Linked DNA regions of Nothobranchius furzeri. The protein of the gene in region 3 interacts with the protein of the main gene of each other region in a biochemical or structural test. Links are inferred from orthologs where the notes say so. Each region holds a gene or a part of one and is shown on either strand. Other genes may lie near its edges. The genes, in order: erbin, arhgef11, rps6ka1, Na(+)/H(+) exchange regulatory cofactor NHE-RF2, microtubule-associated serine/threonine-protein kinase 1, sntb1 and magi3a.

The links.
Region 1: the proteins of rps6ka1 (region 3) and erbin interact in a test that uses a peptide from one of them, tested with the Homo sapiens proteins (2 studies listed by BioGRID and IntAct). The link is inferred for Nothobranchius furzeri from reciprocal best matches to the Homo sapiens genes RPS6KA1 and ERBIN.
Region 2: the proteins of rps6ka1 (region 3) and arhgef11 interact in a test that uses a peptide from one of them, tested with the Homo sapiens proteins (2 studies listed by BioGRID and IntAct). The link is inferred for Nothobranchius furzeri from reciprocal best matches to the Homo sapiens genes RPS6KA1 and ARHGEF11.
Region 4: the proteins of rps6ka1 (region 3) and Na(+)/H(+) exchange regulatory cofactor NHE-RF2 interact in a test that uses a peptide from one of them, tested with the Homo sapiens proteins (2 studies listed by BioGRID and IntAct). The link is inferred for Nothobranchius furzeri from reciprocal best matches to the Homo sapiens genes RPS6KA1 and NHERF2.
Region 5: the proteins of rps6ka1 (region 3) and microtubule-associated serine/threonine-protein kinase 1 interact in a test that uses a peptide from one of them, tested with the Homo sapiens proteins (2 studies listed by BioGRID and IntAct, with this or other methods). The link is inferred for Nothobranchius furzeri from reciprocal best matches to the Homo sapiens genes RPS6KA1 and MAST1.
Region 6: the proteins of rps6ka1 (region 3) and sntb1 interact in a test that uses a peptide from one of them, tested with the Homo sapiens proteins (2 studies listed by BioGRID and IntAct, with this or other methods). The link is inferred for Nothobranchius furzeri from reciprocal best matches to the Homo sapiens genes RPS6KA1 and SNTB1.
Region 7: the proteins of rps6ka1 (region 3) and magi3a interact in a test that uses a peptide from one of them, tested with the Homo sapiens proteins (2 studies listed by BioGRID and IntAct). The link is inferred for Nothobranchius furzeri from reciprocal best matches to the Homo sapiens genes RPS6KA1 and MAGI3.

What each region holds. Positions count from the first base shown.
Region 1 is NC_091746.1:65,237,735-65,241,234, forward strand, and holds part of erbin (erbin), read right to left. Parts: intron 2,872-3,500; coding exon 2,799-2,871; intron 1,516-2,798; coding exon 1,386-1,515; intron 1,300-1,385; coding exon 1,184-1,299; intron 1-1,183. UniProt on the Homo sapiens protein: Acts as an adapter for the receptor ERBB2, in epithelia. By binding the unphosphorylated 'Tyr-1248' of receptor ERBB2, it may contribute to stabilize this unphosphorylated state.
Region 2 is NC_091754.1:62,118,656-62,122,155, reverse strand, and holds part of arhgef11 (rho guanine nucleotide exchange factor 11), read right to left. Parts: coding exon 3,451-3,500; intron 1,936-3,450; coding exon 1,842-1,935; intron 1,676-1,841; coding exon 1,646-1,675; intron 1-1,645. UniProt on the Homo sapiens protein: May play a role in the regulation of RhoA GTPase by guanine nucleotide-binding alpha-12 (GNA12) and alpha-13 (GNA13). Acts as guanine nucleotide exchange factor (GEF) for RhoA GTPase and may act as GTPase-activating protein (GAP) for GNA12 and GNA13.
Region 3 is NC_091758.1:28,116,427-28,120,668, forward strand, and holds the end of rps6ka1 (ribosomal protein S6 kinase alpha-1), read right to left. Parts: intron 2,161-4,242; coding exon 2,038-2,160; 3' UTR 2,019-2,037; exon of another isoform or gene 1,893-2,018; intron 902-1,892; 3' UTR 501-901; downstream 1-500. UniProt on the Homo sapiens protein: Serine/threonine-protein kinase that acts downstream of ERK (MAPK1/ERK2 and MAPK3/ERK1) signaling and mediates mitogenic and stress-induced activation of the transcription factors CREB1, ETV1/ER81 and NR4A1/NUR77, regulates translation through RPS6 and EIF4B phosphorylation, and mediates cellular proliferation, survival, and differentiation by modulating mTOR signaling and repressing pro-apoptotic function of BAD and DAPK1.
Region 4 is NC_091752.1:53,773,839-53,777,878, forward strand, and holds the start of Na(+)/H(+) exchange regulatory cofactor NHE-RF2, read right to left. Parts: upstream 2,801-4,040; 5' UTR 2,378-2,800; coding exon 2,153-2,377; intron 1-2,152.
Region 5 is NC_091752.1:70,159,192-70,163,174, forward strand, and holds the start of microtubule-associated serine/threonine-protein kinase 1, read right to left. Parts: upstream 2,801-3,983; 5' UTR 2,064-2,800; coding exon 2,025-2,063; intron 1-2,024. UniProt on the Homo sapiens protein: Microtubule-associated protein essential for correct brain development. Appears to link the dystrophin/utrophin network with microtubule filaments via the syntrophins. Phosphorylation of DMD or UTRN may modulate their affinities for associated proteins.
Region 6 is NC_091745.1:41,784,301-41,788,432, forward strand, and holds the start of sntb1 (beta-1-syntrophin), read right to left. Parts: upstream 2,801-4,132; 5' UTR 2,656-2,800; coding exon 2,130-2,655; intron 1-2,129. UniProt on the Homo sapiens protein: Adapter protein that binds to and probably organizes the subcellular localization of a variety of membrane proteins. May link various receptors to the actin cytoskeleton and the dystrophin glycoprotein complex.
Region 7 is NC_091755.1:38,365,285-38,368,784, reverse strand, and holds part of magi3a (membrane-associated guanylate kinase, WW and PDZ domain-containing protein 3a), read left to right. Parts: intron 1-715; coding exon 716-1,330; intron 1,331-3,500.

The DNA.
Region 1 (3,500 bases), on a different chromosome or scaffold from region 3:
GAACCAAGAGGCTGATTCGCCCGTTTGCTTTAACAGCAGAAAGGAATTGATCGTAATAACTAATCAGACTTGACAGCACAACTTCTGCTCGTTCAAAACAAACCACTGGTAAAAAGTGTAGGTGTTTGTTGTTGGGAGTGTTTTTGTGGGAATAAACATTCAGGAGAACCAGAAAAATGTCCAAATCGTAGCTTTGGACTTCCTCCTTGCATTAGAGTAATAGCTTTTAACTCATTCACTGCCAACGACAGGTGTTTACTGTGTGGGCATCGGAACGAGCCCCCGCACCGTAAGAACAAACATCTCAGCTCTAAAGCCGATCTTCATCCGCGTACGTCACATGCCACGTGATCAGGAAGCAGAAAATCCACGTGTTAGGAGATCGTTTTGGGTCGCTGCTGTAAAAAAAGTGAGGCGCGAACCGGAAAAGCTTCTGCCGATCACAATTCTACAATGGATTATGAAAGAACGGATAAAGCTCGAAACGTGCTGATTCTTCCTGATGTAAGAGGTGAGTCTTTGCTTTGTTTTGTGAGTTTTGGCTTTGACATCATCCTAGCGTGCAACGTTCTGTCACTCTTAAAAAAAACAACAAACGCTGAAAAACGCTGGCAGCGAACGGCTTTTCTGCTCAGGAAACGGCTGGCAGTGAATGAGTTAATGGTGCAATGGTATGATGTCATTTCCTGTCATCTCTATAAATTTTATTGTACATTGTGAATATTCCACTGAAGCTTTTTGTGAAGACAATCATGAATTGAATTGAAATTGCCATTTCTGACCCCAAAATCGGGTATTCGGTTTCTCGTTCAGCCCTTCGCTGCTGTGGACTAAATGCTTTAGCACATCTGGCATTTCTGATGCTGGCAAAGCAGGCTTCGACTTTTCAAACCAAAATATTACATTTCTTGTCAGGATGTAATCTTTTAATCTGGATTTTATAATTAAACTTCAGATTCTTCCAACCTGCTCACTAACCCCTTTTAATAGTTTATACAGTCAAGCATCACTGGCAAAGCTCCTAGAGGGGCTTTGAGAACAGCTACTGTAAAACATCTCAGGTTATCCAATCTGCTGATTAGTCATGTAGTGAAAATATCTTTAAACTTTCTAAACGTCATCCTTGCATTAATTGTTTTTTAGTATCTAAGGTGCCCTTTAACCCCAGTGAGGCCCGACTCACTTGTTGTTGCTCAGATTGATAACTTTCAGCCTCTGCATGTCTCCCATCTCCTCAGGCAGAGTCTCCAGCTTGTTGGAATGCAGAAACAGCACGGTGGCATTCTTCCACTTACCCAGCTGTGAGGGAAACACACGGAGGACTGTTGAGTCACGAGATGCAGCAACGGCCGAGTAGACTGACAAACGCTGATATACAGGCTCACCTCCGGGGGAAGCTGGGTGAGGAAGTTGTGATCTGCAGCAAAAGTACGAATGCCGGTGCACTGACCGATGGAGGACGGCAAGGCTTCGATTTCATTGAAGCTGAAGTCCAGCTCTTCGATTGACGTCAGTCTGAAAGAGTCAAACAATCAACCTTCTCTTTTTACAATTACACACTAAAAAACACAGCGAACACGATGAATAAACAGAAACTAGGATGTTTTGCTTGTTTATGGCATCCCCTAGTGTCCGTTTGTAGAACCGAAGCCAAAACCCATCTCCTTGCTGTGTGCTTGTCTTTTATACACCTTAATCTAACAGCTGAAGCATCTCCCAGCCTTCATTAGTGTCTACAGGTGTGATTCATCACTAAATTAAACAAATCAGCTGTGTTCACAATCTAAAACATGCAGGAAACGTTCTGGAACCAGAGTGCAGTGCCAGGTATGTCAGCTAAAAGTCCCAACAGAGTGGACCAGTAGTCTGACGATGCAAGTGGAATATTCAGGCCACAGGGTGGCTGGGTGGCCTTCCATTAACCCTGTAAAGGATCATATTTTAGCACGTACTGGCTCGAGAAAAGGATTTTAAAATAAGAAAAGGTTGCAAAATATCCCTTTAATAATGCTCACTCTAATAAAAACTAATACACACAAGCAGTCATGGGTGACTAGATCATCGTGAAGTCACAAAAAGTTATTTTAGGGATGCAGAAATGAGAAGGAATACTGTAAGTGTAGCAGCATCATGATTCCCGTCACACTGAAGGAGGTTTTCACCATTTGATGCAATCAAGCATAAATCTTAACGGTGGTGAGGAGCTCAGCGGGGTCTTAATCCCGGCTGGAGAGGGACTAACAGGTAAAATGGGAATAAACTAGATAAATTACAGGAGAATTACTTTGTCCTGCGATTTCAGAGAACAGGGTTCAACTCCCACAAACCACATAAAACATAAAAATAATAATCAGCTAAAAATAAAAGAGAAAAAAAGAGCTCACTTCGGCTAAAATCATTGCATGGGATTAAGCTAAATCATAGGCTTTGTCGCATAATCTAAGCCAAAGTTCAGAAGGAGATGTATGCTGTGACATAAGTGATAACTGATGCTGTTTGGAAACAAAAGCACCACTCTGCAGTTTTTTTCTCTCATGGGTGAAAATTACAACAGAAATAAAAATCACGATGGATGGATGGATGGTAATCTGTGACTTGAAGCAGCTGGATTTACCTGCCTGCTGTGCACATGATCAGCCTGAGAAAAAGGTTTAGTCTCAGTCCTGAATCTGGGAATCATCTCATCATACCTCACAGGATTAATCCACAGACCTTTTATTTCTTTGACCAGCGGATGCGTAATGACAAACGCACGACAATCCACAGATTTTTAGGAGTTTAGAAGCTCCAACACTCACCCTCCAATGGAGTCTGGTAAATACATCAGCTGGTTTTCATCCACTTTCAGCGTGCTCAGTTTCTTTAAGGAGCCTAGAAACCGGAAAACCAGGAGACCGGATTAGAGAGGACAACAACAACAGCTGCCCAGGCTGGTATTGATCAGTTATTACCGTTTAACCACTAAAGAGAAGGGTCCACTAGAGCAGCTAATTAGGTTCATTAGAACCGACATCGATACAGTAAAACGCCGACTAGTAATCGGTCCTCATATCGACCACAATGAGCGGCAACTCAGCTGATTTTATTATCCTTGTTTTAACTTCTGAATAAGCACATAAAATAAATCTTGAATCGTTTTTCTCCGATGTTCACATAGCTAAAAAAACAAAATAAAACTATGAAAATCTGACCTTTTTACATTTTTTTTAATTCATTTGGTGCAGTCAGGCTTTTAATACAATGTGAGATAATCCAAAAATGATGGGTTGGTATTAACGTAATGATGATGTAATATTGTTTAACATTTTACTCTAAAATCCTCCTTCTAGATTTATTTTGTTTAGCTGATTTTCTTCAGGTACATTCAGTGCATCCCATCGATGTGCGGTTTCCAAAGTTGGGGTCGAGGGGTCCCCACTTAAGGTCACCCAGAGCGACAAAGGGGGCCTCCAGATGATTTCCAGAAATCAAAATAAAGTTGAAAAACAATTGCTGAAGAT
Region 2 (3,500 bases), on a different chromosome or scaffold from region 3:
GTGTGTGACTGAAGTGTGTGACCGGTGTTGTGTGTGACTGAAGCGTGTGACCGGTGTTGTGTGTGACTGAAGTGCGTGACCGGTGTTGTGTGTGACTGAAGCGTGTGACCGGTGTTGTGTGTGACTGAAGTGCGTGACCGGTGTTGTGTGTGACTGAAGTGCGTGACCGGTGTTGTGTGTGACTGAAGCGTGTGACCGGTGTTGTGTGTGACTGAAGTGCGTGACCGGTGTTGTGTGTGACTGAAGTGCGTGACCGGTGTTGTGTGTGACTGAAACGTGTGACCGGTGTTGTGTGTGACTGAAGCGTGTGACCGGTGTTGTGTGTGACTGAAGCGTGTGACTGAACCGGTGTTGCGCGTGACTGAAGCATTTGACGGGTGTTGCGCGTGACCGGCGACCGGCGTTGCGCGTGACCGGTGTTGCACGTGACTGAAGCGTGACCGGTCTTGTGTGTGACTGAGGCTTTGTAAATGGTAAGTCTACCTGATGTTAGCTTCACCTTTTAGGTCGAATTAGACATTATTAAACCTGTATGAAAACCGGTGACTTCACCCCCTAGCCATTCCATGACTGATAGTCTCTGATGTCCCTACGATGACACGCAGGATTATGTGGTTTAGAAGATAGATGATGGAGTGAGTGAGTGAGTTGAGTGAGTGAATGATTGAGTGAATGAACGGACAAGTGAATGAATGAGGTGAGTGAGTGAGCAAGCGAGTGAATGAATGAAGCGAGTGAATGAATGAGGTGAGTGAGAGTGAGCGAATGAATGAAGTGAGTGAGTGAGCGAATGAATGAAGCGAGTAAGCAAGCGAGTGAATCAATGAAGTGTGTGAGTGAGCGAATGAACGAGTGAGCAAAAGAATCAATGAAGTGAGCGAGTGAATGAGTGAGTGAGCAAACGAATGAACAAGTGAATGAATGAGTGAATGAAGTCAGAAAGTGTCCAAGTGAATCAATGACTAAAGTCGTCATTGGCATGTTTTTACTGTGTGGGCGTCGGACGAGCCCCCGCACCGTGAGAACAAACATCTCAGCCCTGAAGCCGATCTTCAACCGTGTACGTCACATGATCAGGAAGCAGAACATCCATGTGTTAGGAGATCGTTTTGGGCCGCTGCTGTAAAAAAAGTGAGGCACGAACTGGAAAAGCTTCCGCCGATCACAATTCAACAACGGATTATGAAAGAACGGATAACGCTCGAAACACGCGGACTCTTCCTGATGTAAGACGTGAGTCTCTTCTTTGTTTTGGTAGTTTTGGCATTGACATCATCCTAGCACGCAACGTTCTGTGACTCTTAAAAAAACAGTGAAAACGCTGGCAGGGAATGAGTTAAATAACTTGATGTTATGAATGTTTGTTAAAGGATAAAAGTTTAACTCAAGGAAAAAATGAAGGCTTTAGGGCAACTCAGAAGGAAAAAAAATGCATTTTTTCATAGATTTGAGAAAATAAAAATAAATATTTTTCTCAACATTTTCACTTAATTCTGAAAAATTTTATACTGAACTATGAGTTTTGTGTGTTAATTTTGTCAGTGTGACGTTTTTATTGATGTTTCCACTTTAATCTTAAAACTGAACAATTAATTATTTCCTCTGAGCGGCCCCAAAAAACATGAAAGAGCAGACAAACATGTACCTTCTGAGGGCGACAACGGGACGTGGAACGCTACAAAACCAAACAGAAACAAACCAGGAATGAAAAAACTCAACAAAAATAAAAAAATGTTAAAATATTGAAACCAAACAGAACAGTGATGTCATAGTGGTTACATCACAAGTCCTTAAAAGCAGGTTTTTGATTTCCCGCTCAGATTGGTGTGTGTGTATTTTACTGGACTGAGACGTGGCCCAGGGCTTCACTATATACTTCAGGATGGGATTCTTCCTTCGATCGTCTCCATCCTTGTCCTTCTTGTTGCTGCTCAGCTGTGGAGACGAAGGAAAAGTCAAACAATCCCAGGTTTAATACACACTGGCTGGTTGATCAGAAACAAACTGACCTAATAACTAAATGCAACTATATTAAATGATCGATAACATTTTAATTGGGCGTAATTATGAAGGAGGAAGCTCAAATTGGTCTGGGCCTGTTAGTGTTTAGGTGGAGACTGCAGCTCCTCGCCGTTATCAGCATGAATACACAGGTTGTGAATGTTTTTGCTTGAAACATCAAATAAAAGCAGCTCACACGACAAACCCACCTAGTCTTTGGGTTAGCTGAGGGAAGCCTGGTCGTGCTGACTTTAGAAAGCCAGATTTACTAAGATGATCTTTGTTTTTGGCTCATAAACACATTACAGCCTAACGGAGCGCTTTACTGAACGCTCGCCATAAACGCAGTTCCTGCCGTGACCTTCACCATCTTTTTGTTCAAACCAACTAAATAAAGGTTGAGGTTCTGAAGTGAAAGTGTGCTGAGTGTTCAGCACTGTGTGCTTGGGAAACAAAAACCAGGAGACTGTGGAGATCTAGGTGATCTACCCCCCCAGGAACCACCCAGACGTGTTCAGAGAAGCTTCCTGAGAAGTTAAAAACCTTTTAAACTCAAAGTGTGCCATGTTTTGTGGCCAATCCGAACGCTCTTCCTCCAACACCTGAGGGACTGCTGCAGCAGCCTGAGCCTCCTCTCTGCTCCTCCACAGGTATGCTGCCACATTTAAGCTTGGTTTATGCTTGACGCATTCACTTTCCGCGCGGTGATGCGGCTCGCGGCTGGAACGCGCTTCACAACTTGCAGCGTTTATGGTTCATGCGGCTCGTCTCTGCGGTGAGCCAATATTCTCCCAAACTGTAGGGGGCAGCATGGAGCTCTACGGCATGCATCCAACACTACACCATAGTAGAAGTAAAAATGACTGTTGTTTACAACATGGCATTTCAGCATTTTTAACAGCGTCCTCGTCTTTTCCGACAGTGCGAGCTATTTCTCTCCAAGAATTATTAACAACATGTTGATCACCGTGATCTCTGAGAGCTGAATCATACAAATGTCTGTATTTACCAACCTCTGCCATACTAGTTCTTGCCGGTCCGCCATGTTTTTCTGCGTCCGACCGTCCGCGTGGTTAGAAATTTTCCGAGGTGCGCGTTGCGGAAATTCTGGGCCGTGCGGAGGCGCGTTGGAGGGGCGTGGTTGTTAAAATGACGCAACTTTTCCGCGCGGAGCCGTGCGAACCTCGCGGACGCGTCAAGCATAAACCAACCTTTAGTTTGCACCTCCCCACTGTAACAGCGTTTTTACAGGTTGATTATGGTTTTTTGGTTGAATGAATTACATTTGATTAACTCTTACATCATTTTTTGTTATGGCCCAACGAGCTGGGTCATTTAAAAAAGCTACAAAAAGGGAAATATTTAATCATACTAACAGGTTAAAAGAGAAAACGCTCGTTTCCGAGACTAAACTGATCTGAAAACACGTTCTCCAGTTTCCCTTCTCACCTTTTTAGGTTTTAGGAAAGGGAGCCACTTCTCCTTCTCGGTGCTGGGAC
Region 3 (4,242 bases):
AAAGATGTCCTAACAGGATCCTGGATTTACAAACATAAGAGCCTGAGTTTGAGCATACAGACATTTGCACTTTGTCTCCCTCTAGTGTTTCTTTATGGAGACATTAGGAAAACATTAATTTTGTAAAGCAAACTGCTTTACAATTTATTGATTATTCATCTGAGGATTTTCAGCGTAGTAAATATAAAAAAGAGAACTGATGTGATTAAACGATTAAAAATAGTCGCAAAATTATGAAAAATTTGAATAAAATAAAACTGATGATTTATTTGTATCATTGTTTCCTGTCTCTTTGTGCACGATTGCAAAAATCAGATTTTTTTTAATCTGAGGGACAATAAACTGAGCAGAAAAGAAAGTTTAAACATCCACTTCTCTTCGGATTTGCCTGCAGCGACACCAAAATGTCCACACTAAGTGCCGCTAAAGGGATTTAGCCTGTTCTAGGTGAATTATGAGCTTTTTCTTTTATAGGAATAAGAAAACAACAGGACACTTGATCATAGCAACTCAATCTTTAATATCATAAGATATAAAAATCTTCATCTTTATCATACAATAACATCTTACCATAATACCATCAGTCAAAAGACCACCAAACAAGAAATATATCAGAACTTTGATCCCTTTAGAGGTAAGAAAGCTGGCTAACAGATTATTCAGCCTTACAGGTCCTTCCTTCTTTCATTCTCAATCCCGTTTTCTACTCCAGACATGCTTCCTCACATGTAGGCACCGAGCTGAAAGCAGGACCTACCCATCTGTGGGAATCGGTTTGAGACACACTTCTTCAGAACATCTCAAAATCAAGGTCCGTCGAGTGTAGAAAAAAAAAAGGTGAATTCCAAACTCAGGAATTGCATAAAAAGGGAAATTCCACAATGAGGGAAGAAGAAGAGACCTGCAAGGCAACAAGTCCACAGATCAGCTCAGCGTGTCTTTTACCATTTTAAATCCCCACTTTCTTGAGATGAAAAACCAAACAACAAAAGCTGAAAACACAAGAAACAGCCTTGAAAATACATCTTTCAGAAAAAAAAGTCATTTAGCAAACTGCAACATGCCACATTGTTCCTCGGGCAGGTTTTCTTTCACGGAAAGCCACCTACTTTACTAGTTTTGTAGTCATAAAAATAGTCAACATTTCAAATGTTTGCAAACAGATTTACGAAGCTGAGAAAAGGGAGAGCAGAAAAAACGAGGAAGCCACATGACATCATTACGTCACCAGACCATGCACGGCTCTGCAGCATCCCGCAAGACAACAAACATAAACTGCAAGTCATGCAACTGACACACACAAACTCACACACTCGCACACAATCGCACTGTAAAAGCAAATACTCGTGTATTTTTCTTCCTCCCCAGAATCCACCTCATCTGGTTTGGTTGTACCAAAACCAACAAGGCGTTTGTGGAAAGAGGTTTTATATTTTTATGAAATTATGCTCTTTGAAAAACATTGAACAGCAGCTGAACAGTTTGTGTGTGTGTGTGTGTGTGTGTGTGTGTGTGAGTGTGTGTGTGTGTGTGTGTGTGTGTGTGTGTGTGTGTGTGTGTGTGTGTGTGTGTGTGTGAGTGCAGATTGATTTGGCAGCGCATTTAGAAACATAAAGCTCATCAACTCTGCAAAAACCCCCCCAAAAAAAACAAACAAAAAAAAGAAAATCAGACAGACGGACAACGGAACAGGCAGACGGACAAGCGTGCAGCGAGGATCAACTACAGCAACGATCCAGAGAGAAAACGTTCATGTCACCATCAAAAACAGTTGCAGGTTCATGCAATCACTCGCTCACATGTCGCTCATCCACACGGCAGTAAGACATCCCCCCTCCCCCCTCGTCTTGCTGCTCGGATCACATCGGCCCACACACAGATAGCAAGTGCAGGACCACTGTTTGTGTTCCTTGGCTGTTTTTTAAATCTTTTTTTTTTATACATATATTCTTTTCATTTGGAGGCTGGACGCAACGTCCCAAAGCAAAGCCGCGTGGTGCTGGTGAGCCCCCGGTGACCTGATCAGCTGTTGAGTCTCTACAGGGAGGTGGACGGCAGCTTCTTGACACGCCTCTGGGCGAGGAAGGAGCTCTCGATGGGCTTGAGCTCTGGAGGGGGTTGGGAGTTCTTCAGGGCGGAGTAGGTGGCGGCCATCGCACCCTGAATGTAAACAATAACAAGAGGTTGTTTTTTTTTTACTCTATTTCATTCAAAATTTATGAAATAAACACAAGCAAATGCAATACATAAACATAATGAAAAAAAAACATTTGAATGAAAAGGAGCAGATAGAAGAAAAATCTTATCATTTCTGCCCCTTTTTACAAAAGAAAATTATCTGTAAAACACACAATACAGCCTCAGTCCCTTTCTACTTTTTATATATATAATCATTGACATTTTAATTTACCTTTTCACAATTGCTTAATACATTTGATTTTATGCATTTTTTGAATATAGCAAGTGAGTTTGAATCTTTAATATCTCTGTTAAGGGCATTCCACAATCTTACACCATTTACAGAAATATCACATTCCTTCATTTTGGTTCTGAATTTAGTTTTTTTAAAGACATCAGTCCCTTTTAATATGTACCCACTTACTCTCCTATGAAACATTTTCTGAATATTAGTTGGTAAATTACTCGTATTCGCTCTGTACATTATTTGCAATATTTTCCACTCTACCAAGTCAGGAAATTTCAGTATTTAATATCTAATGAATAATGAATTTGAGTGATCTCTGTAGTTACTGTTATTAATGATCCTCAATGCTCTTTTTTGTAAAATAAACAAAGGTTGAGTAAAAGTTTTGCATGTGGCTCCCCAAATATCCAGACAATAAATTAAATATGTTTCAATCAGCGAGTGATACAACATTAATAACACAGACCAATTTAGCAGAAATGTGACTCTATATAATACCGCTATGGCTTTGGCAACTTTCCCCTTTATATAACTTATGTGATTTCCAAGTGAGACACTCATCAAACATGACTCCAAGAAATTTGGTTTCTTTTACTCTTTGAATTTCCATTCCATCTATCGTTAAAGATACATCACAGTTTCTTTTGTTGTTAAACAGTATAGTTTGTTTTGTTCAGGTTCAATGACCGTCTATTTATATGAAACCATTTTTTTTACTTTAATCAGTTCACTGTTTATTACTTGAGTTACTTCATGTATATTTAATCCTGAATAAAACTGGACCAAGTAGATGAGATATATTTATAAGGTCATTAATAAACAATATGAACAGTTTAGGTCCGAGGACCGACCCTTGTGGCACTCCATAATGAATATCTTTCAATTCAGATCTGGCATCATTTATTTGAACAAACTGTTTCCTATTGTCTAAATAACTATTAACCCATTGATGAGCCACACTTCTTATTCCAGAGTTCTGATCAAAACTGAAGGAGCTCTACTGATCTGTAGTGTTTTAGAGGACTGAGGTAATTTATGGGAACTAGTGGCATCACTTACTCTCCATCCAATCCATTTTAACTAAGGTTTTACATACACACACACACACACACACACACACACACACACACACACACACACACACACACACACACACACACACACACACACACACACACACACACACACACACACACACACACACACACACACACACACACACACACACACACACACACACACACACACACACGAAAACGAGATGGAAAAAATATTGGTTGCTGATTGCGGCCCAGTTTTGCATATCAGACTGATACTTGTATGTTAAAACAGGACTAACATCGGCCAATACCGATTGATGCCAATATATCGTGCATCCCTAATGTTGCCGGAACCATTTGAATTAAATTGAAATGTTAAAAAATGTAACTCGTCCCGTGTTATTGCTCACATGCTTAGTGGTCACTTTTGTGAACAGCTGGGTATATATGTGGGTGTTGGTGGTTGACTTTATATAAGCAACAGTTTAGGACTCTAATGTGACAAGGCCACCCACTGACGGTGTGTGGAGTGGTAATACTGATGATTAAAATAAATAGTAAAAGTAATAATAATATTAAATTAACCAGTGTTTTATTAAAGAAAGTATTTCATTTTTCTTCATTGTTTAGGCTGACTTATGAGCAAAGTTTGGAAAAACAAACAAATTAGCACAAAAGGAACACATTTAAATGGCATTATGCCCTCCTGTGGCCACAATAAATATGACAAAAAAAATTAGAAATTGAGATTTCCACACTGCAAAAACCGATTTTTAA
Region 4 (4,040 bases), on a different chromosome or scaffold from region 3:
ACATTACAATTGTAGCGCTGCAGTATTACTCGCAGGAGACACGGCAACCCCACACTCACTGATGGTAAACAGTAGTCCCTCCTTCCTTTGTTTTGAGAGGAGAAAAACTGACAATCCCAGCATCCAGCTAATATATTTCACTATAACCTTCCTTCTAAAATGACAGAAACATTAAACTCTTTTGGGATTTTCTCACTGTAAAATTCTCACTATATTCTTACATGCTGCACCTTTAACAATGTAAGAACTAGATTATGGTTGTTGTTTTAAATGTCCCAGCTGTCAGGCCCTTGTTTAAGTATGAGGTGACAAAACAAACCTGCAACATGATCAAACTTCAGCTCTTTATGGTGCTTTTAGGGCTCAAATCCAGCAGGAGTCAGACAGTTCCAGCTGACGTAACCACTAACAGTGATGTAAAGGTTTCTAAATAAACGTTCACATTAGCTGTTGTTGTGAGATTTGGGAGATTAAAGGTGTTTTAAGTTGGCAGTGAAACGTTTTGGTTTAAATAGTCCCAGCCATTAGCTCATGAATCTGGGAGGATTTAAAATAATAGACTAAAGATGTTCATGGGTATAGCAACAACAGGCTAAAACACAACAGTTTAGACGAAAAAATAATTAAGAGAGGAGCTAGATTGTCTGGTGATCAGAAACTCGGAATTCTGATTTTTTTATATTGATCTGTAAGCGGCGTCAACAATAAAACATCTGACATTTTTCCTGGTCTGTGAACTCACCAGACAACTGCTCATCGATGTTAGTAACTGATGTTACATGTGCAAGGTTTTAGCTCCGGAATGAACGCTTTAAAGTGACAGTGTGTATTTTTTCTGGCCATAGGGGGCAGTAGATACCTAAATCGTTGTAAGAAAGCTGTATTTTTGTGTTGGAATAAGACCTTACCAACGGAAGCCCATTAGGGTCTAAAAGCCCTGGGGAGTGCAAACTTTAGCAAAATAAGCACATCAGACTCTCTTTCATCACTGGCAACAATTGAAGAGGTAAACGTGTAAAACAACATATTTAACAATGACAAAAGTTTTGTAACGGTTTGTTACAAATCAGTAGATGCATTTTGTCCTCATGGGCACCCGTAGAAGGAAACATAGCATCTAATATGGCGTCGCCCAGAGACTTAGACCCGCTCCCATTTATTTTAGACCAGATTTTTATGGTTAGATGTTACGACGCTGCCAATATTGTTCAACAACTGGGCTTCATTTCATTCATTTTCAACTACATTTTGATGGATGTTTCCAGAAATTAATGGTAAAACTACACATTGTCTCTTTAATGTTAGTTAGATGAATCTGAATGGGCCAAACCAGCATCAGCAAGTCTGAGCTGTTACAAGAGTCAGAAATCGGTTTCGGCACTCTAAAACAAAATCAGTGTCCCAAATTCCAACAAAAAACAAACGTGCATAAACTCATGTTGAGTATATGCTTGTGGAGAAAAATTATATCAAACCAATCAAAGGTTTGTCCAATCATATGCCAAAATTTAGTGGATTAAATAGTTGACCCCCACGCCCCACCCCCCTCTCTCTCTCATCTGTTACTGTTTCCCACCATCAGACCACCATAGTTGTGAGAAAACACAACATTTGAGGTCAGGCCTCAATGACAGTTAGTGGATGAGAGGAATGAAGTCGAAAACTGAATCAGATTTTTAACTCAACTGAATTTAAAATGAATTACACAGATAAATGCAAATCTATAAGAACCATTACCCATCAGAAGAGTGATGAAACAAAAGTAAAAACCTCCTGCTGCTCTGTGACCTGACAGATAAGACAGTTTAACTTGGTTTGGGGCAGAGATATTTGATAGTTGCAGATCATTTTGGGCTCAGACAGAACAAAGTCTGCAGCTGAAGCGTCTGAGTGTTTATCAGCCTCAACAATATGCCAATATGCTGAAAGTCTGTAAATTCAATGCGACAGATTAGATTAGTGTGGCGGGGGCGGGTTTTGCGCACTTTGTGTGTGTGTGTGTGTGTGTGTGTGTGTGTGTGTGTGTGTGTGTGTGTGTGTGTGTGTGTGTGTGTGTGTGTGTGTGTGTGTGTGTGTGACCTGTTGATGCACCCTCGCAGGCAGACATGTAACTCGACTCTAATCATAAATATGAAAGCACACATCCACTCGCCTGGTGGTGTGTCTCCTTCTCCACGTTGACGCCGTTCACGGCGACCACCCGGTCCCCGGCGCGCAGCCCCGACGCCTCTGCGGGGGAGTTGGGCTCCACTTGGCGGATGAACTGTCCGCTCTTCCCCTTCTCTCCGTGCAGGTGAAAGCCATACCCGTTCTCCCCTTTATTCATCACACACAGCCGCGGTTTCCGCTCGTTGGCCATTTGCTCTTCTTCTCGCATCGAACCTTCCTGCAGACCCGAGTAGAGTAAAAATGCGGTGAAAATGCGCGAAAAGAAGAGGTGGGAGTTCAGGACAACGGGTGCGGGGCTAAACTTCCAGCGTGCATCCCGACTGGCCTCGTGCGCGCCCTCACATCACAAACACAACTCCAGATCCAACAACGGAAAAGTTTAAATTCCCTAAAAGCTACGAACTCCAGTCAACTGGACCGTGTGTCCGGCTCTGAGGCACGCTGCTCCAAAACGGACCCAAACCACCGGGGGCTCCAGAACCTTCGGACCGGTGCGCTCTGCAGACTGTAAAAGTGAAAATGGTTACTGGTCAAACTCCCTGCGTTTATCCAAAACATTCGTCCGGAGAGCACATCCTTCTGCAGCTTCAGCGCCGATCTTTGCGCACGATGAGCGGCTGGTGAGCAACAGCACCACCTTCCTCTGGAAGAGAAACAAATAGAAAGTGTAAGTGATGCACTGATGCCCCCCGGCGGCAGGAAACAGTCAGTGATCAGGGTTAGTTATGATAAATGATCAACTTTTAAATAAATTTAAAAAAAAAGTTCTTTAAAATATTTCCTGTCTATTTCATTGTTGGTGCCTAATATCAGGCAATGTGGTGACTTTTAACTTCAAAATGATACATCTCACAATAACGGGAAACGTATATTGGCTCGATTAGGGTACAGTTATGGTAACATCTCAGATTTATAACTTTTAATCACATTTGCAACCTTTTGTCTTAGAAATCTGACTTTTAAAGTCATAAATATAATTTTTAATAACTGTCAAGGTTGTAATTATGGTGTTATTTTTAGTCATAGTTATGACTTTGATCTTGTAATTATGATTTCCAAAGTTACAATAATTACTAAACTTCATATTTACAAGTTTGAAAGCAGGAAAGATGATTTTGAAATCACCAAAATGATCCTTCAGATCTTTTAAATTGGAACTCTGAAAAATATTAAGAACAATCTACATCAGTGGTTCGTCCTCCACTGCCTCGACTCGACTGCTTCAGTGGTGGTGCTGCTGATGGCTCGTGTCTCATGCTTATCCTCTACGCCAAGGCAACTCAGTGATCAAGCAGGGATCTAACCCCTGCATCCAGCTTCCACTGGGAAGCACCTCACTCTCACTCTCCAACCAGTCCACTCCATACTTGGAGAGCTTTCTCCAGGGCTCTTCCCGGGGAATTGTTAAGTCCAACAGCAAAACTTGCTTACTGGCCTCAGACACAAGAACAGCGTCTGGTCTGAGGGAGGTGACAGCAGTATGACTGGGGAACTTCGGCTGATCCATCAAGATCTCCCAGTATCTGGCAGAGATCTTTTGACTGGAGCTGCTTACTCCCCAGCTCTGGTGAAGGTTGTAGTTTGGTTAGAATGGCAGGCAGGTAAACAGAGAATAGTAAAATTTGATTGTGTCTAGGCAAATAAGTTACTGATTAGTTCCAGGAGGGTAAATTAAAAGTGGGTTTCTATTGTATTAAAACAACTCAGATCTCATCATTGTTCTAGCAGTTCATCTAAAGGCTTTTAAACACCATTTGAACTTTGAAACTGCAGAAATTTTTACTTTACATGAAAATTCAGATGAAAATATAAAATCCTCATCAGTACAGATAAACATTCTCCATTCACACCTGTGGTCTGTGTTTCTCCAA
Region 5 (3,983 bases), on a different chromosome or scaffold from region 3:
ATCGCGAGTAATACGATATCGCAATATTAAGCACTGTTATCGAATATCGCAGGTTTTCCTAATATCGTGCAGCCCTACTTTGAATTGTGAAAAATACTTGTGGATGGATGCACCCCAGTTCCCAGAACAGTCGTCTTAGCGCACCAACCTAGCTTGAATGCTAAGTAAATTGTCATGGTCTGTGTCTGCGTCTCCCCTCTTGTGTCTCCTTGTGCCCTCCATTTGTCTCTAGATTCCCCTTTTGTGTCTCATAGCGCCCTCGTGTGTCCTTTGTCTGCGTCTCATTTATGTTTCTTCTGTTTGTTGCCCTTCTGATCATTCCCCTCAGGTCCGGCGTTCATTCAGTCGTCCCCAGCCCCTCCAGTTGTAGCTCTAGCCTCTTTATTCCCCAGCATAGTGTGTGTATGTGTGTGTGTGAGTGCATGTGTGTGTGTTAGTGTGTGTGTGTGCGCGTGTCCACTCCCCAGCTCAGTGTTTGTGTGTGTGAGTGTATGTGTGTTATTGTGTGTGTGTGAGTCCTTTATCAGTCTTTAGGTTTAGTTTTAGGGTTATCTGCCCTCCTCTGGTTCTGTTCCCATTTAGCTTATTGTAGTCACCTGCTCTCCCTCCAGCCCTCACTCCACACACCTGCTGCTTGTTTCCTTTATTGCTCCTTCCTGTCTATATAAGCCCTGTCTTGTCTCTGTGTTGTGTCTGTCCATTGTGTGGTGCTCTAAGAGAGCTTTTGGTGTCCTGTGTTCCAGGACTTTTGGAATTTTGGCTCGCTGCCTTTTTGGATTTACTTTTGTTTGTTTCATCCTGCAATAAAAGGATAATTTACTTTACTTCATCTCCTGCCTCTTGTCGTCTGAGTAATCTGCACTTTGGGTCCTACCATCCCCTCAACGTGACATAAATCTGCATTGAATTAAATGGTAACTGGCCTGCATTTGATGTAGCAACTTTTAGAGTCATAGAACCCCCCAAGGTGCTTCACAACACACCCCTCCCACCCACCCACACACACACACTGGTGGTGATAAACTACATTGTGGCCACAGCTGCCCTGGAACATACTGACAGAAGCCAGGCTGCTGTACACAGGAGCCACCGGTCCCTCCGACCACCAGCGGCAAGCCGGAGGGTGAAATGTCTTGCTCATGGACACAATGACAGCGACAGACTGAGCGGGATTGAACCTGCAGTTTTAAAGTAAGACATTTTGCCAAAAGGGACTCGAATATAAGTCTTGCCTAAAGTGTAGCCTAAAGTAGTGTAACTAGTGTACTTGTAGTGTCACATATTTGAGACAGTAGTAACAGTTTTCCCCCTTAGAGACAGGGTGAGTTAGCTCAGCCATCCGGGAGGGGCTCGGAGTAGATCCGCTGCTCCTCCACATCGAGAGGAGCCAGCTGAGGTGGCTTGGGCATCTGGTTAGGATGCCCCCCTGGTGAGGTTTTCCAGGCACGTCCAACCAGGAGGAGACCTAAAGGAAGACCCAGGACACGCTGGAGGGACTATGTCTCTCTGCTGGCCAGGGAACGCCTTTGGATTTCCCCAGAGAAGCTGGCCTAAGTGGCTGGGGCGAGGGACGTCTGGGCCTCTCGGCTTAGGCTACTGCCTCCGTAACCCGACTCCGGATAAGCGGAAGAAAATGGATGGATGGTTGGTTGGTTACAGTTTTAAACTATAAGGGGTTTTGCCCAACACTGATAATGGTTGACTTGGTCTATAGCAATTACCTGATGTGGCGGCCATCTTGAATTGGGTTAGGAACCAGGCAAAAATATTATAGTCAGCCTTTTGCCTTGGAATAAAATTTAAAACAGGCATAATGAGTCAGGTTTGTTTTTCTAACCCAAAATTTGGTTCATTTAGCAAAAATAAAGTTTCACTTGACTTAAAGGTCAAAAACTAAGTGAAGACAGCAAAATGTGGTGATGACTGTGCAGTAGATGGATGCCAATATGAAGTCACGCAGCTAAAATGTGCCTTTGTTTACCAATCAGCATGCAGAGAAGAGGTCACGTTAGAGAACATCTCACCTGCAGCCTCCTGCGCCTTATTATCCCAGAGTCCTCCATGGTGTGGTCTCCTACTGGGGGCTCCCTCCCACCAGAACAACCATTTGACCGTTAGTTCGTGTCTGAGCTCGGCGCGACCAGAACTGCAGAACAACAACAGCAGCCAAAGAGTCGCGCGCACTCAGGAGGAGATCGGAGTCACGTCGAGGTGCTCCACATAAACGTCAAACGTTCCCACGCCTGAAGGCTTCCAGCAGCTTCTCTAGCGACCTGCTCCTCCTCTGCTGACACTCCTCTGTGAGCTCCAGCATCCCTCCCGGAGCAGCCTTCGCGTTCAGACGGAGGTCCGCGCGCCTCGCTCGGTCCAGCTGAGCAACCCGAGGCCTGCACGCGCCAGCGCCACTCAGTGCGCGAGGCGAGCAGACGCTTTCAGCCGCTGCTGATCACAAAGGGACGCGCGGCGGCGGGGGAGCGGCTCAGCTCCTCCTCCCTTCCACAAACACCTCCAACAGTTGTTTTGATGCAGCTGCAGCAGCGATGTTTCTGAGCTTGGCTGGGATTCCCTCTCGCTCCTCCTCCTCCTCCTCCTCCTGCAGCCCTGATTCTCCTCATCTGAGCGGAGTAAAAACGTCATCCAGCCCCCTCCCTGCTGCAACACCCTACTCCTCCACTGGATCTGCAGAGAGCGAGGACACGTGGTGTATTAATATCCTGAGAGCTTCTGTCGTGTTGACTCGTTCAGTAGTGGATCAACACGCCACTGATCATCTCATCAGTAACCGAGCAGCTAGCAGCAAGTTTCATTCATTCATTCATTCATTTAAACCTTTTATAGTTCAGAATAAAAATCTGGTCCTGATCAAGTGAGCAGCTTTAAGCACTAAAACTAAACAATGAAGTCGTTAGCCTCAAGAGAAAACTGATCATCAGTGTCCCACGTTTAAAAAATGCAAATGTGGCAGTTTAATGGTTAAAGGTGCTCGTGAGTTTATCACATTTATGTCTTTGAACAGAAGAAAAACATAACTTTAATTTTAAAAAATGCTGTTTAATTAGTGTGCTATGACTTTTGGTAGCAACCATGGACGTAATTTTTTTTGGGGGGGGGGGACAGGGGGGACATGTCCCCCCCACTTTTTCCAAAGTCAAGTTTTGACCCCTGCACTTTTTACCATCCAAAAACAATATTACGCTATATTAAATTGACACTAGTTGAGCTCTAGGACCAAGCAGAAAACAACCGTTTGTGTTGAAGCCGGTTTCCCATTAGCACATACTGTAAAGATACCCCCCCCCCCCCCCCGTGTCCCCCCCCCACTTCTAAAGTGAAAATTACGTCCTTGGTAGCAACACATTCTAAAGTGTGGGCAGAAGGGACAGAAAATGACATTTATTATTATTATTATTATTATTATTATTATTATTATTATCATCATCATCATCATCATCATTAATAATATTAATAATAAATATTATGAAATTAATAATACTAATAATAACAATAGATTTGATTTTAAAGTGCCTTACTTGACACCCAGGGACACGTTACAGTCATGGGAAAAATTAAACAAGATTACAAATTACAAAAATATATAAAAACACTGAGATGTAAAAAATTAAAACTATGTGGTAAACGCTTGTCTGAAGAGGTGGGTTTTGAGTTTTGATTAAAAAGTTGGAGGGAGGGAGTGGTGCAAAGATCAGGGGGAAGAGGATTCCAGAGGTGGGGAGCAGAGCGGCTGAATGCTCCACTCCCCATGGTGACGAGGCGAGTGCGGGGAGCCGAGAGATGAGGAGCAGAAGAGGAGCGAAGTGAGCGAACAGGAGTGGTGATGTGAATGAGAATGGATATGTAGTATGGAGTCAGGTTATGAAGAGCTTTGAAAGTGATGAGCAGAATTTTAAATTCTCTGTTTAATGGGGAGCCAGTGCAGCGTAGCGGGATGGAGGTGATGTGATGAGAGGATGGAGTCCTAATGA
Region 6 (4,132 bases), on a different chromosome or scaffold from region 3:
CAAAAATGTTAAACGAGTTCATTCATGTTTGTTTCATGCCATGGTGGATTCCCCATTAGTTGTTTTGGCTGAAATATGAGGAACTTCCTGCTGTACTTGACTCCCAGATGCACCAGAAGTGCTGCATGCAGCTGCTGTTCACACTTGTAATAACATCCATGTAAATACCAATGGGATGCATGTCAGTGCTTTAATGTTTATAATATAATGTTGCATGAACCCATGTGGAAATACAGAGATGTTTGTTTAAACATTGTATTAATACACTTTTTTGTTCATAAGAACTGCGTGGTGGCGCAGTTGTTAGCATTGTTGCCTCGTAGCAAGAAGGTTGCAGGTTCGAAACTCGGCTGTGGCCTTTCTGCGTGGAGTTGCGTGTTCTCCCCATGCATGCGTGGGTTTCCTCCGGGTACTCCGTTTTCCCCCACGGATCACAACATGCCCTGTAAGTTATAAATTGTGTGTCGCTTTGGATGAAAGCGTCTGCCAAATAAATAAACATAAACCGCCCAGCCAAATAAAAAAGTCACCACCCAAAAAGAAAAATGGCCTGTATTTGATATAGCGCCTTCTAGAGTCCTAGAACCCCCCAAGGCACTTTACAACATAATCAGTCATTCTTTCATTGAATCCCACATTCACACGCTGCTGGGGATGAGCTACAATGTAGCCACAGCTGCCCTGGCGTGCAATGACAGATTACGACACGCATTCGCTGTGGCGCTGTTTCGATAAGCTTCTGCAACATCACCAGTTGTTTTGATCCAGGGTTGAACTAATGTCTCACCAACATCTTGCACTGATGATGGTAGTCTGACTGCTGCACAAAGCCTTCTGCAGCACATCCCAAAAATTCTCAATGGGGTTAAGGTCTGGACTCTGTGGTGGCCGATCCATGTGTGAAAATGACGTCTCATGCTCCCTGAACCGCTCTTGAGCCCGATGAATCCTGGCATTGTCGTCTTGGAATATGCCCGTGCCATCAGGGAAGATGGAATAACCTGGTCATTCCGCATATTCAGGTAGTCAGCTGACTTCGTTCTTGGAGCACATCCTGTTGCGGAGTCTAGACCTGACCACCTGCAGCAAGCCCAGATCATAGCACTGCCCCCGCAGGCTTGTAGAGTAGGCACTAGGCATGATGGGTGCATCACTTCATCTGCCTCTCTTCTTACCCTGATGCACCATCACTCTGGAACAGGGCCCATCTGGACTCATCAGACCAGTTTTTAATAAAGTGTTGGACAGTTCAGATTGAGTTTTTTTTGCATCTCATTAGATGTCATCTCTGCTTGACGCCAACGACCCGACCCTTCCCACACAGACTAACATCTTTTCCACAACCACCAGTTGTGTCTTTCCACTTGTTTGTTTAACGAATGAGAAGTGACTCATTGCACCATTTGAGGTTAAAACACTTTTTGACATGCAGTAATTAATAATAGGAGGACCCTACCTGTTTGCTTAGTTAAATCCAGGTGGTGACTTGTTTTTGGCCCAGGCAGTGTAGTAGCTCATCAGTTATTTCTCCAAACAGAATGTTCAGGAAGTCACAAGTTATCGAACTCTTTAAGGCAAATGGAAGAACAAGATCCAAGTTGGATCTCAAAAGATTCCTATTATTTATCTAATAAAATCCCACCTGCTATTTTCTGCCAGTAAGTTTTTATCTGCAACAGAAAAAATGTCTGGAACCAAAAGCTGAGCTCTTCTTCAACTTCATTTGAAGAGACAAACGAATTAATCAGCTGCCTTTTATCTACAGGAGAAAACACGGTTCATTTTCAGGCTTTCGATCTTGTCCTGCTGCCTTGTTTTCCTTCATTAAGGTGATTTTTTTTAACCACAGCAATAATCATGAAGGCAAAACAACAAAACCTGGTTTTGCGTCTCCTGAAGTTGCACCAAGCATCCCAACACGCAGAGGCTGAGGTGTCCAGGAGTCCTGCAGCTAATCAGGGACATCTGAATTAAATGATCACAGCAACAATTCTCAGAAATAAATACGCGAAACCCACGCACACCTGTTGGCTTCGGTTTACGAGCGTTTGTATGATATAAAAACAGTTTGGACTTCCGGGGCTCTGGTCACCTTCCCTCTACGTGCATGTGTCCCAACTGCTGCCTACCTTCCAGTGTCACCTCCTTCCCCGCACGTTTCAGCACCTGCACCGCCTCATCGTGCGTGGCGTCCCGCAGGTTCATCCCGTTCACTGACAGGATCGCGTCCCCCACGTACAGAGCCTGGGTCTGGTCCGCTGCGAGCCCCTTGAATATCTTACTGATGAGAATGGGCATCTTGTTCTCCTTCCCTCCTTTAATGCTGATGCCGAGCCCTCCGACTTCCTGCTTGGTCACCTTGACGCAGCGCTTTCTGTTGGCGATCGCCTCGGGCACTCGCTCCGGGAGGTCCGTGAAAGCGGTGCGCACAGCTTGGGGGCCATTGTTGGAGTTGGTGTTGCTGTTATCCAGGTACGATCCGTTGGTGAGCCCGTTTGAGTTGACATTCTCGCCATCCTCGCAGCTCAGCGTCAGCGCCTCCTCGCTCAAGTTTACCAAAACTTTGTGCCAGTGCTCCCGCACCAAAACCTCCACTAATCCACTTCTGTGCGCCCCGGAGCCTCTCGAGACGCCTGCGGCTGCTACCACCGCCATCTTTGGAGCATTTCTGTAAAATCACACGCGTTCTCTCTCACACAAACACACACGCGTTCCGGCTCAAGCTGCATGGACTTTGCTCGTCAGAAGTTTTCTGCGGGACTCGATCAGCCAGCGCAGGCTGGCCCCCGCTCCGCTCCGCCTGCCCGGAGGTCCTAAAGCTGCTGGGTGGAGTTTTCCTCTCCACGCTTACAACCGACCAGCCCATGAACCAAAAAGAAAAAAATGGGCATTTGCATCAGACATAACTTTCTGAGCTATGACGCAAGCACGTGCTAAAGTCATAAAAACAAAACCGTATGCAGCTCTGATAATTTTTCAGAACAGAATGAAACGGTTTCACGCTTTTGTCATTAGCATTAATGTTATTAAATAAAATCAATACACCGTTTCAGTCATGGGGTTCGAGTGTTTTTGTGCGTAATTTGGACAAAATTCAAGGAAATAAAACTGTACCTTCAACATCTTTTGAAAAACTTTGAAATCATAACTAGTTGTCCTGTAGGACTGCGCTTACGTCGTGCTTACGCGCACTCAGGAATGCAATTGAGGGGAGAGAACGCGGTTTAATTTTAGGCTTTCATTTAAAGGCCCACCCTCTGCGGAGTTTCTCCGCATCTCTAATGATTATTTTTTTATTTTTCCAGCTGTTCCCAGCGGTTATGTCAGCCCAAGACCCCGAGGGCGCAGTCCGAGTCTTACTGGTTCTGTAGATCAGAGAGAAAATAAGAGAAACAAATAGAAGCAAATGTAGAAACGACAAACAAACAAGGTGGAGGAAGAGGGGAACGGTTCTCCATCATCTCCAAACAGCAGCTGTCAATTAGGCTAATTAAAACATCTGCAAACTTCCACTGGTACTGATCTAAACCGGCGCGACAGCGACACCTACTGGTGATGTTTGTTTTAACAGTCATCTATCTATCTATCTATCTATCTATCATCTATCTATCTATCTATCTATCTATCTATCTATCTATCTATCTATCTATCTATCTATCTATCTATCTATCTATCTATCTATCTATCTATCTATCTATCTATCTATCTATCATCAGGTGACGTTGAACAGTAAATCAAAAACATTTGATCTTTAAAATAATCTGCTTTTTATGTCCTTACTGGTTTTTCACAGATTAAATTATTTAAATAATGAATACTGAATAAAGCAGCAGATGCAAACCCAGAGCAGAGACCATGACGACAGACCCCACCCGCGCCTTCTCCTTCAGGCAGAGGATTGAGCGGCCTCCAAGACTGTTTTAGGCCCTCAAAGCTGAATGGATAAACTGGCTGTAACGTATAGCTATTTTATTTTTTATCTTTCTTTGAGTGTGTCCTATTCAATAACTTTGAACAACTCCTAATAAAACACAGGAAGTGTTGTTTCACCGTGAGCTACTTACAATTACTGAGTTGTGCAAAAGACATGTTTTGTCTTGATGAGGAGCAGGAGAGTTATTTTTACTTTAAT
Region 7 (3,500 bases), on a different chromosome or scaffold from region 3:
TTCCAAGCGTCGGCTGCGTTAGCTGCCGTCTGACTGTGGCTGCATTAGCATTAGCAGCCTTCTTTTCATTGTCTGCGGTGAGCCTCGAAAACTCACCGTGCTCCGCCAAGTGTTTAGTCTTTAAATGTCGGATCAAATTCATCGTGTTGAATTTTTTTGAAGTGCTTCCTCCGCGGGGTATGTTTTCGTTGCAAGTGTTGCAAGACGCAAACTTAATATCACTCTCGCACACCGTAAAGAAGTTCCGCACGGCAGACTTGTTTGTCTTCGCGGGTTTGCCGCCACGCGCATGCGCACTAAGCGGGGAGAAGCGGAAGGGTGAACTACCAGCCGGGAAGAGTAAGCGCCAGTGCCAGAGCGGAAATGAAAGGCAGCGATCGGCGATCACAGATCACACACTTTTGCAGGAAAATCGGCCGATAATTATCTGCGGCCGATCAATCGGAGCACCCCTAGTTTTAATCACAAACACCCTCACCAGCCACGCCGCCTGCGGGAACCAGGGCTTGTCTGAGCCGCTGTTGTTTTTCTAGCATCTCAAACTACTTTGAACATTCTCCTGACTTCTGACCTGAAGAGGACGTTTTCATTCACTGGGGATTTTCTCTTTTTCAGACAATTCTTTGTAAAGCCCACAGGTGGTTGTAGGTCCAAATCCTGGTAGACCCAACCATTTATGTGGAGTGTTTGTGAAAGCTCTTTGTTCTTCTTTTAGGTGATGTCATAGTGGACATAAACAGGGCGTGTGTGTTGGGGAAGACTCACGCTGATGCGGTGCAGATGTTCCAGTCCATTCCAATCAACCAATACGTAGACCTGGTCCTGTGCCGGGGTTACCCTCTTCCTGACGACTCCAGCAGCAGCGAGGAAGTGTCGGGGAGCCTCATTGCCTCGAAGGATGCCTCCTCTTCTCCGTCCACTTCCACACCACAGAACGTCCCAGATGGAGGAACCCTGTCCCGGCACACAGCCTCAGTTCCACCCATGACTAATGGAGGAGGACGCCTTCCACATCCCCAGCTGCAGCAACAGAACCTTCCTCTCACCCTAAACCAGGAAGGGCCAGACTCCACTCTGTTGCAGCCGGAGCTGGTGAGCGTACCATTGGTCAAAGGCCCGGGAGGTTTTGGCTTTGCCATTGCCGACTGTCCCCTGGGTCAGAAGGTGAAGATGATCTTGGATGCGCAGTGGTGCCGCGGCTTGTTGAAGGGCGATGTCATCAAGGAGATCAACCGGCAGAACGTTCAAACGTTGAGCCACTCCCAGGTGGTGGACATCCTCAAAGACCTGCCGGTGGGCAGCGAGGTCAACGTGCTGGTGCTTAGAGGAGGTGAGTCCACGGGAAGGAGGGGTCATGCTGCAAACTTTGTTTTTTTTTATCAACCAGAGTTTTATTCTGACACCAAACGGGCTCTAGTCTAAAGATGAAGTGGAAGTGTGTCCCTCACACAGATTTGCATCACCTGTTGCTTGCACAGCACTTAAAACAACAACAACAACAAAGCAATGGGCTGACAGTCCAGTCTGTATTTGAAATGAATTTCTTCAGCAGTGAGGCAGCAGCATGATTCGCCCTTTGTCTAAGATCTGCCGAGTCTAGAGGAGGTCAGAATGACGGAATCGTGTAAATGTTTTCATTTATAAATGACAGGATGGTTTGTGTGCAGCACATTGTGCTTGAATACATGCACACACACACACACACACACTCCTTGTTAAATAAAGCAATTTCACGCTCTAGTCCATGCCAGCTCTGCATCATCTACCTCCCAAAACAGGAAGTAAGCAAAGTGCAGTCACAAGTGCTGGGAAGAAGAGGGGGGGGGGGGGGGGGGGGGGATGACGGTTTTACTGATTCACTCACTGCCTTAAGAGAAGGAGGGAAGGGAAGGCATGGAGAGAGCAGGAGCGTGGTGGGTAATCATCACCACTCGCTTTCTTGCTTCGTGCTTTCACAGATTTGAAGGGCTCGTTCTTTTTTCTTTGCCTTTGCTGCAGTGCAGTAGCCTAGATTCAAGAGATCAACGTTGCACCCACACATCAGATGCACTGAGCCGGGTTCTGCTGTGCGCTCTGGGGGCCTTATCTATCTGTGTGTGTGTGTGTGTGTGTGTGTGTGTGTGTGTGTGTGTGTGTGTGTGTGTGTGTGTGTGTGTGTGTGTGTGTGTGTGTGTGTGTGTGTGTGTGTGTGTGTGTGTGTGTGTGTGTGTGTGTGTGTGTGTGTGTGTGTGTGTGTGTGTGTGTGTGTGTGTTCTGTTTAGTAACTGTAGCGTTTGTAGCTCCCAGAAAACATTTCTATTCTTTGCAACAACATTCTCGTTTGATTAGAAACTGAAATGCAGATGTGCAGGCAGATGGAGAATTTATAAACTTGAACTAGCTTGTAGAACAACGGCACATCAGCGGCAGGAAATCCAAATTAGTCGAAGCATAAAATACTACAAACAACATAAAATGAGCTGAAAATGGAAGAGAGCAGGAAAACGGGCGTGAAGACCAGCGGAGGAAAGGACCTGGTGAGATGTGAGCAAAACTAGTCACATAGTCAAAAATGACCTGTTTTCTTAAGCACTGTAAGACTTTTCGAGGTTAAGGAGAAGAGGTGGAGATGTGCATGAGTGCTGAAGTACAGACCTGCAACGGCTGAATAAAACTTGACGTGCAGGAAATGTTCAAACAAACCAGTAAACGGCTCCTTGAATCTTAAAGTAATGAAATAGTCTTCATTAGTATTTTTAATTACACAATAACCAGTTGTGTCTGTGCTGTTTTTACTGTTTCGGGAAGGGACATTCTCATTCTTCAGGATGCTGCCATGCTTCCTATGCTAAAGGAGCCACTGAAGGATGATGAAGCGTATTAGAGGATAAACACATGTTTCTGTATCAAACTTCTAAAACACTTTAGTCTGTTGGAGATTGCTTTCTGATCAGACTGGATAAATATTCCAAAGTGACCAAAGCGCTCTTAAAACAGGTCAAGTCTCCAAAATCTTTACATTAGTTCACCCAAGTATATATTTGTTGCAAACTTAAGAGTTTTGCAGAGTTTCGTGACATCATTTCACGTTAGCTTTTGTTTAAGTTCAGCAGCAACACGTTTTGGTCGCGGCAGGTTCAGACTAGTCGTCCGTCTCATCAGCTCTGATAGGAACAGACCCACCTGGGTAAGATGGTAATGAGTGATGACGTGAAGCTGCTCAAGTCAAAGGTTCGGATCGTTTGGAGAACAGCTCCTGGTACAACATCTGTTTTAAACATAAGTAAGAAATTCAAATGAGGAGAAACTAAGAACCAAAGTAAACCCAAAAGTTTGCATGAATCTAAAACTTGAGGATTTGTATCTGCAGCAAGTAAGTGTCCACTTTAACCTAAAACACACGTTTCCCCTGGCTGTAGGTCTACCTCCTTCCATCCTGTAACACAGGCCTACGATTCCTGATACTTGAGTCTACTGCCCCCTGCTGATTGAACAGATTCTGTCACTATTGATTTACCCTT